Linked DNA regions of Rattus norvegicus. The protein of the gene in region 2 binds, or shares a complex with, the protein of the main gene of each other region. Links are inferred from orthologs where the notes say so. Each region holds a gene or a part of one and is shown on either strand. Other genes may lie near its edges. The genes, in order: Spire1 and Fmn2.

The links.
Region 1: the proteins of Fmn2 (region 2) and Spire1 are in contact, whole or in part, in a crystal structure (PDB 2YLE), measured with the Homo sapiens proteins. The link is inferred for Rattus norvegicus from reciprocal best matches to the Homo sapiens genes FMN2 and SPIRE1. Residues at the interface, in NP_064450.3 of Homo sapiens: Ser1702, Leu1703, Lys1705, Ile1706, Lys1707, Pro1708, Arg1709, His1710, Gly1713, Ile1714, Lys1715, Lys1717, Ile1718, Lys1721, Thr1722; in NP_001122098.1 of Homo sapiens: Gln51, Pro52, Ile53, Asn54, Glu127, Ile131, Tyr134, Lys135, Asp138, Leu141, Lys142, Glu143, Asn144, Glu145, Glu146, Arg147, Glu148, Glu154, Ile157, Asp158, Ala161, Asn162, Thr163, Val164, Glu165.

The regions. Positions count from the first base shown.
Region 1 is NC_086036.1:63,438,733-63,443,331, reverse strand, and holds the start of Spire1 (protein spire homolog 1), read left to right. Parts: upstream 1-1,797; 5' UTR 1,798-2,001; coding exon 2,002-2,287; intron 2,288-4,599.
Region 2 is NC_086031.1:88,985,467-88,989,924, reverse strand, and holds the start of Fmn2 (formin 2), read right to left. Parts: upstream 3,063-4,458; 5' UTR 2,851-3,062; coding exon 1,284-2,850; intron 1-1,283. UniProt on the Homo sapiens protein: Actin-binding protein that is involved in actin cytoskeleton assembly and reorganization. Acts as an actin nucleation factor and promotes assembly of actin filaments together with SPIRE1 and SPIRE2.

The DNA.
Region 1 (4,599 bases), on a different chromosome or scaffold from region 2:
CTGGTTTTGTGCAGTTCGTGTGCAGAGGGCAGCAATACTTCACAAGGCCAGAAGATGGCGGTGGTGTCTATACAAGCGGACCATTGTTTCTCTGCCTTGTTCAAAGGATGGTAAGCTCCTCGGTATTGTCAAAAGTCACACAGGATCCGGACTTTTAAAAAAGCAAAATTTGAGGGTTGGGGATTTAGCTCAGTTGGTAGAGCACTTGCTTAGCAAGCGCAAGGCCCTGGGTTCGGTCCCTAGCTCCGGAAAAAAAAAAAAGCAAAATTTGGCTATGTTGGTATATTAATATATCATATATTATTAATGTTATCATAGTAATCCTAGTATGTATTAATATTATCATAGTAATCCTAGTATGTATTAGTCTCCCACACAGGACTGAGAAAGGCCTCTGCCTCAGAGTTTTGGCACACAAATACTACATTTGTTTTCTTTTACATATTTGTATGTATTGGGTATGTGCACATACACACGGAGTTCAAAGACCAACCACGTGGAGTGGAGTCTCCCCTTCAACTATATGGGCTGCAGCTTGGCAGCAAAGTCCGTTCACCTGCTGAGCCGTCTCACTGGCCCTAAATACTGCATTTTTATATTTGAGATTATGAACCCATAATTAAGTAATTTTTCTTGAAGAGCTTGTTTTATATCTCTTGCCTTGAAAACAAAAGGCGTCCACTGAGTTTTTCCTTAACCGCCAACTTCTAACCCTTAATGACTTTCTACTATAAAATTAACTGTAGGGTGCCATTTCCCACATTCCACATAAAATTGTACCTACTACGATGTTCTTACTTGGTTGATGCTACAACTCTAAGGACTTCGAAGGCTAGCCTGGGTAGAATGTTACCAATTAAAACCATCCATGATTGGATGGACATTTTAAAGAGTTATTAGCTTTAATCGCACACTGGAAGGGGTTCAGAGAGGCCCCTAGAGTTCTTTTGTACTCCAGATAATTGTCCTTAGTTTTGTCTCTGACACCTATTCCTTCTCGAATTCCTTCTGGGTTAACTAGGCTAGGATGAGTGTGGTTATTACCTCAGGGGAGATTGAATCTGTAAGGCCTTGTGCATCACATCTCAGGCCCTGATCTAGGCTTTCGGAGAATTTGGCAAAGCAAGCCTTTGATCGTTGTCCTCACTGAACGTCTGAGTGGAGAGAGTACCAACACTAAAGAAGCATTGAAGAAGTAGCGGGACATGGTGGTTCAAGGCCAGTTTGGTTACCCAGGGAGACTGTTTCAAAATAAATGAATAGGAAAATATATTTAAATAATTTTGCAGATGTGCAGAGAGATAGTATGTGTCAAATGGTCCTGAGAAACAGACGAGTCTCAAAGGACCCAGGGGGCCTGTGCTCGCAGGCCAAAGCTGGAAGCGCTGGGCAGCCAGTGGCGAGGGTGATTCAGATGACCGTTTCTTCTTGATAAATCGCCCCAGATTGAATTCAAGTTCTTAAATAGACTGTGGGAGCCGAACGGGTGACAGCGACTTCGCGGCCAGACGCCTGCAGGACCACGGCTCGGGCCCCAACCTTGCGGTCGCCCCTCGCCGCCCGTCACTCACCTCGGGGGTGACGCCCCCAGGCCGTGCTCAGCCGCGCGTCACTCACATCGGGAGGGGGCGTGACGCCCCCCCAGGTCCTGCTCGGCCGCGCGTCACTCACCTCGGGGGTGACGCCCCCAGGCCCTGCTCGGCCGCGCGTCATTCACATCGGGGGTGACGCCCCCAGGCACTGCTCCGCTGCGCGGCCCCCAAGAAGGGGCGGGGCGAGGCGAGACGGGGCGGGGCTAGTGGACGCCATCGCCGTGCTACCGGCCGGCTGCGTGCTGGTCAGCACCGAGCGCCGCGGTGTCCCCGCCTAGTCCCCGCGGCGGCGCGCAGCCGGCCTGGGCGGCGGCAGCCCGGGATGCGGAGGCGGCGGCTCGTAGAGACGATGCTCCAGCGCTGAGGAGACGCGGCAGCCGAGCGCCGGCGGCGCAGCGACGTGGGCCGCATGGCGCAGCCCTCAAGCCCGGGCGGCGAGGGGCCGCAGCTCGGCGCGACAGGGGACCCGCGCGACGCGCTGAGCTTGGAAGAGATCCTGCGGCTCTACAACCAGCCCATCAACGAGGAGCAGGCGTGGGCCGTGTGCTTCCAGTGCTGCGGCTCCCTGCGCGCCGCCGCCCGCCGCCAGCCCCACCGCCGCGTGCGCTCGGCCGCGCAGATCCGCGTCTGGAGGGACGGCGCCGTCACCCTGGCGCCCGCCGCGGACGAGGAGGGAGAGCCGCCCCCTGCCTCCGGTGAGGTCGCGGCCCGATGCCCCCGGCCCGGTGGGAAGCTGGCGGGCGGCTCCCGGAGGGCGGGCGGGGCTGCGGGACCCGGGTTCCCGGGAGGCTCTGTGCGTGTCCGCCGGCCTCGGCTGTTTACCGGGGGCTGAGGTGGGGGTGGGGTGGGGTGGCGAGGGCTCCGGAGATGCATGTGTGAGGTTCGGTCAGGAAGATGACATCCTTGGGAAAAGGAGCTGGCCCTTCGTAGCGTTTTGAATTTGTCAGTAGTCCTTGGAAATGGTAGGGAAACCACTGAACCCCCAAGAATTGTGCTATTTTGGAGAGAAATAGAAGAAATGAGGACTCCGGGTACCCTGTGTGAAAATTCGCTGTGGTGAAAAGTACAGGTTTATAAGAAGTAAACAGGCTGTTTAGATGAAATTGCTTTTGGTTAGTCCGCGTACATTCTTCATGACTTGTCACCTAAACAGTGACACATTACCAGGAGCTTACTCACATGCTTTATTGATGGGAAGACTAGTAATAGGTTTCCCCTATCCGGTTTTATCTAATTCATTCTTTGAGAAGCAAGTCTATTCAAAACATAGCAAAACAATCCACCTTCACCTTTAGAAAGTTGATGGAAGTGTCAAAATGCTCAAGGATGGAAAATGTAATTAGAATAGTCTGTAAAACGACATTTCGTGAAAATCCTTTTCTAAATTGAGGGAAACGTTCAGTATTATCAGCCCTACTAGAATATTCTCTCATTTTTAGTTCAAGTAAACATAGTTTTGTTTATTTATTTAAAGCCAGCCATTGGGATGTATTAATAACCTCAATGTTGCACTATTTCAGAATACCGTGTGACGTTTTCATACACGTGTACCTCGAATGATATTTAAAGCCGACCTTTTGATGATCTTTTTGAATCTTTTTTCTCCCTTCAAACAAACATTTTTTCTTTTATTTGATCTGTTGCTTGATTTTAGACCTTGGCCTTAGTAGATTACAGTTTCAGTTGTAACTTATTTATAAGATGCCATGAAAAGATAATTTTTTTCCCCCAAACAACGAGGCTTTGTCTTGGTCCAGAACTCTTTCCAAAGGAGAGAGTGTGTGCGACCTCGCTTCAGAAGAATCTTTGGTTCTATTGAAAGAGCAGGCCTGGTTGTATGGTGTATCAAGAACTGTTAAGGAACTTGATCCCAGAAATGTTTTGACTGTCAAAGACCGATAGATTCTTTGTGGGTGATTCTTCTAACTGTTGTTGTTGGAACGATGAGGAACGATGAAATGAGTGCATCATTAATATTGGGTGTAATACATTTTGCAGAGAATAATAAATAGATGATTCCCAGAAACTAATGAATTTTTTAAAACGTATTTTTAAATGTCTATATATTGTTAATTGAGTGCATCTTGTGGCGGAGCACTTGCCTCAAGGCATGTGCAGCCAGAGGACAATGTCGCCACACCTGTTCTCCTACCTTTAAACGGGTTCTGGGGGTCAGACTTGGGTTGCCAAGTTTGTGAGGCAAGCCTTTTACTCACTGAGCCATCTCACCAGGCCTTTATTTTACATTTAATTTTCCTTTTTGGGGGACTAAGTCTCCTGTACTCCAGCAGAAGCTGTTCTTGAACTCCTGGTTCTTCTGTCTTCACCTCACAAATGCTAGGATCATTGGCATGGACCTCCACACCCTACTTTGTAATGGATTTAACCATCTTCTGTCTCCTATCCAACTCATGATCTCTGCTGCCAGATACCAAGAGAACCTAATCAGAGTAGTTGGTACAGTCTGGAACATCTCAGGGCTTGTTGGTTAAAGCATTAGAGATGGGGGCAGGAGAAAGAATAGAATAAAAATACATTTATGAGAAAGTTTTTAATAGAAATATTTAGGGTTGTTCATTGTCAATGTAATAATAGTTTATTTCATCCTGGGATGTAATACTGGGTCCTTGGTTGTAGAAAATACATTAGTTTTAAACATTTAATGTTGAATTTTGTTTAAGACAGGGTCCTCTATAGCCTGAGTGGGCCCCAGACATTTTCGTGGAGCAGAGGCTGACCTTGAACTCTTTGATCTTCTTGTCTACAACTTCCTAAGTCCAACTACTGGGCTGCAGATGTGTACAATTAATTCTAGCTTTAAATTTGCTCTTAAAATGTGGTTAGTAATGTCTATTATGGTTGTCTGCATAGATTCTCTCTCTCTCTCTCTTTTAAGATTTATTTATTTTATGTATATTAATACACTGTCACTATCTTCAGACACACCAGAATAGGCATCAGATCCCATTACAGATGGTTGTGGGCCACCATGTGGTTGCTGGGAATT
Region 2 (4,458 bases):
CAGATGCATGCAAAGCAAACATATACATAAAAGTAATAAAATAAAATAAGTGTACTTAAGCAAAGTATTTACTACAGCTTCTAGCCAACCACGAACCCATCTGCCCAGCCTCCCATCCCTGCCTCTCAAGTGCTGGGATTGCAGGCACTTGTTACACATCTAAATGATAACATGTTTATTATAATAACAACATAACGGATTTTAATTTCCATTTAAAATTATTGAATTTTCATGTATTTATCTAAAACCCATGAGCACAGGCATCGAATGCTGCTGTTTTTCTCTCTGCTCTTTCAATTACTTCTTCAAAAATAATATGTTAAATGGGAAACCCACTGACATCTGCAGTGAACCCCTTAGGAGATGCTTTGCAGCTACAAGAAGAAATAATGATTGCATTTCAGCCCAGGAAGCTGATGCTGGCTGTGGTCTCTCCCACAGACTGCACCTATCATAGGTGCAGTCAGTCACCTAAGGAAGACAGTACCAGTGGGAGCCGCCAGCTTTCAGTTGCCCATCTGTAATCTTTCCACATCCCAGCTTTCTCTCACTGACTCGCAGGTCGTCAGCAAGTTCCCTGCCTGCCTAGGCAGCTTAGTGAAACCCTTTATCAAAAAAAAAAGAAGGATCTCAAAAATCTGAGGACATAGCTCAGTAGTACAGTACCTGCCTAGCAAGCAAAAGGCCCTAGTTTCAATCCTTAGAATCATAAATAAATAACACCTTGCTAATGGTCTGATTATTTATTCATTTTCTAAGAGCATATATCATACTTGCTTGCATTAGCAAAAAGGAGTTATCACTTAACTTCGCAAATTACCTGTGGGGGGTACCCAGACCACTACATGATAGAAACTATCTTTGAGGTAGTCAGACATAACCTTTAGAATGTATTAGAAGAACTGTTGTGTGCCTGCAATACAAATCCTTGGGAAGGTCTGTACACAGTTTTAACATTTTAAAATGACCGAGGTAACAAGCCACAAAAGGGGTTAATATTCTTAGAGGAACGCGGGGAGGGGGGGGTGGCAGTGAGCATAACTGTCCTCTCTGAGACGACTCTGGACAGACACCTACATCCCCCCACCCCCCTCACTATCCTGAAAAGAGAATAGAGAACCAAGCACACCCAAGGCTTTGAACTGAGGAAAGGTGCCTGGCAACATTAAGATCTCCAAAAAGCCGGCCAGGGCCTTTCAGAACGTGGAGGGGGCGGGGTGGTAGAGAAAGGACCTGATTGGCAGGCGACCTGCCACCCGGAGATACGTGGCAGGCGCGCTTACCTGTGAACACATTCTGAAAGCCATCAGCCGTCGCTGGAGCCCCAGGTGCCTTGGCGGCCAGCACAGGGGACCCGCCACCACTGTCATCCGCAGTAGCCCCGCGTCCCAGCAGGTGCACCGAGCCTCCTGCCCCAGGCGTACGGGCGCCTAGCTCCTCGGTCCAGTCGGCTGAGCGACTGAGGCCGCCCACGAGGCCACCTTCCAACCGGTGCTTCTTTGCCGGGGTCGCAGCTGAGGCCAAGGCAGTTCTGGGGCTCCGGCTCACGGAAGGGTCCGGTCGCTTTTTGATCCTAGGACTCTGGTTGGGGGACTGGGATGGGGAATGATTGGGCGAGCTGAGCTGCCGAGTGGTGGTCTTGATGTAGCAGGGGGTGATGAGTGGGTAAGGTTTGAAGCAGCGTGGACTGGGCGCAGGGCTGCCAGGCAAAGAAGCGACTGCGGGGATAATGGGTCCTCTCATCCCCTCCTCCGGCTCTTCCTCCAGTCTCTGTGAGGCTTCTTCCACCTCTGGGGCCCATTCCTCCCCTGGAGAGCCCCGGGGAGCATCTTCAAAAGCATCTTCCTCGCACTCCTCATCTGTGTCCCCAGTTCCAGCTGGGGGGACTCCGGCGGCGCCCTCCCCTGGCCCAGCCTCAGGAACCTCAGGAAAGGTGAAGGCTGGTGAAGAGAGCGTGTCTGTGACTGCGGAGTGGGCGGTCGCATAGCCCGGTGTCTCAGAGGCCAAGTGGCTTCCGGAGGACGGAGGATGCTCAGGCACCAGAGACTTGGTGGTCTCAGGCAAGTCAGGTCTCACCGGTGGTGCCTGTACGGTGTCCTTTTTAGCCTCGCTGCTAGTTCCCAGCAAGAACTGGTCCAGGCCCAGAAAGGCCCCAGGCTGAGGGGAGATGGCAGTGGGGGGCGCTGCAGGCTCCTCGGAGTCCTGGAGCAGCAGCTTCTGCTGCTGCTGCTGTTGCTGCTGCAGGCGAATTGCCTGCTGGATGTCTGAGAGCAAATCCTCCTGCTCCGTTGCGGAGTGAAAGCTGTAGATGTCCGTGTCCGAACCAGAACTGGTCCTTTGTCCATCTTGCGCTCCAGCCGCAGTTTCCAAATCCTCGGCGATCGCCTGGATCCCTACCCCAGCCTCGGCAGGCCTAGAACCACCTGGATGGATCACCTCGAAAGGGTCAGCACACTCGGTATCCGATAGGCCCGTCTCTTCAGCAGAGAGGCTGAGGTCCGGGGTCTTGGTGACTATAGAGTGAGCGCTGTCCAGCTCCCCGATCGGCAGGGCCTGAGAGTCCAGCACATCCTCCCGCGAGTCGCCGGCACCTTTCCCCTTGCCCAGATTTTTTCTGATCCGCAGGTTGGAAAACACCGAGGCTCTAGAATCCGACTTGCTCTTCTTCTTGCTGGTCTCCCCGCTGCCCCCTCCCCCCTTGCCGTGCTTGCCGAGCGCCTTTTTGCTCCCGCTCGCCTTCTTTGTGGTTTCCGCATCCCTGGGCCCCGCGGCATCCTCGGCTCCGCCGCCGCCGCCTTCGTGAGAGGCATCACCTGCGCTTCTCTTCAGCTTCCCATCCTGGTTCCCCATGTTTGAACCCCACTGCTGCGCCGCCGCGCCTTGGGGTCCTCAGGCCATCTCGGCCCTGGAGAGGGCCAGGGGAGTGTCCGGGACAATTCAGGCAGCTGGGCCGGCCGTTGGGAGGGGAGGCCGAGGAGCGCCCAGCTGGCCCCGCTCACATCTGCTGCCGCTTTGCATAATGCGCGGTGGCTCTCCCGGCTGCCGTCCCTGCGGCTGTGGCTGCGGCCCTGGCTGGCGGGCGCGAACATGCTCAGTTCAGCGCGCACTCCCCACCAATGGCTGCACAGGACTCAGCCTTGGCCTGGCTCCCCGCCCACCGCCGCCGCCCCCTCAGTGCCCCCTTTGGCTCCTCCTGCAACCAAGCAGGAAAAAAAAATCGTCTATCTCTAGGACTTCATAATTGGGAGTGGGGGTGGGGGGCAGCAGGAGCTATCTTTAAGTAGCCCAGACTAGATCGAACTTAGAATCTTTCTGACAGGTTATCTCTGGGACCTTAATCTCCACCTTGAAAATAAAACATGTTGCCCTCTTTTCAAGAACTGATATATTGGAATATTTTTATGAAAGTTCAAAGCTCGCAGACATGCAAAAAGAGAAGAAGAAAATAAACACACACACACACACACACACACACACACACACGCACACACACGAAAAATCGAAGCCCAATTCCAGGTCAGAAGTACCGTATCATCAGAAACACACACACACACACACACACACACACACACACACACACACACACACACACACACACAGAGTCTGCCTACTTCTGCATGGCTCCAGTTCAAATACTTGTTGAATGGACGGACTGTTCTGTCTTTTAAATACTTGACCATCGCTTTGCACACTCTAAGGTTTGTGAGTATGCTACTTAGGGCAAGGTTCCTTCCCTAGGCTCTGTGCCTGATACACAAGCCTCTTCAAGAACAGGACATTAACTGTCCTTTCCAAAGTGGGTTTGTGAGACCTTTCTGGACAGAGAAAAGAGAGGTAGGGGATGCTGGAAATACTGAGATTAAAGCTGATTAAAATGCTAATCTCCAAAATTCTGTGCGTTTACCATATAAATCAGACATTTGTATTTAAAAGGGGCGCATGTATTATAACTCCCAGGAGGTCAAACTCATCAATATTAAACGTGTCATAACCCGATCCCGTATAAAAAGGAAAAAGAAAAAAAAATGCCCTCGGTACAAACCCAGGAAATTAGACATTGTGCTATAAAGGATGGCCACTTTTCTCGAAGGTCCGTCCAAGCACACTTTGTCCAGGACCAGAGCTCCCTAAGTTTCAGACCTAGATATTAAACACTTATTCTTACTGTGAACTGTTGTCTTTATATTTTAATGACACTAAACTACAGTTTTTGTTAAACATCTTACAGCATCATTAGTATTTTAAAAGGCTGCAAACAATAAAAGCAAAAACAAAAAAACAAAAACAAAACAAAATAAACAAACAAACAAAAAACCATAAGTAGCATTTGTAAAAAATGTTACTCCTTGTTGGAAAATCCAGACAGTGATTACTAGCCTTTCTTAAACTATGATCTTTAAAACAAGTGTTTGCTGGGGCAGGTGGATTGTTGTCCTTAGGTGGCCTTTTTGAGTAAAC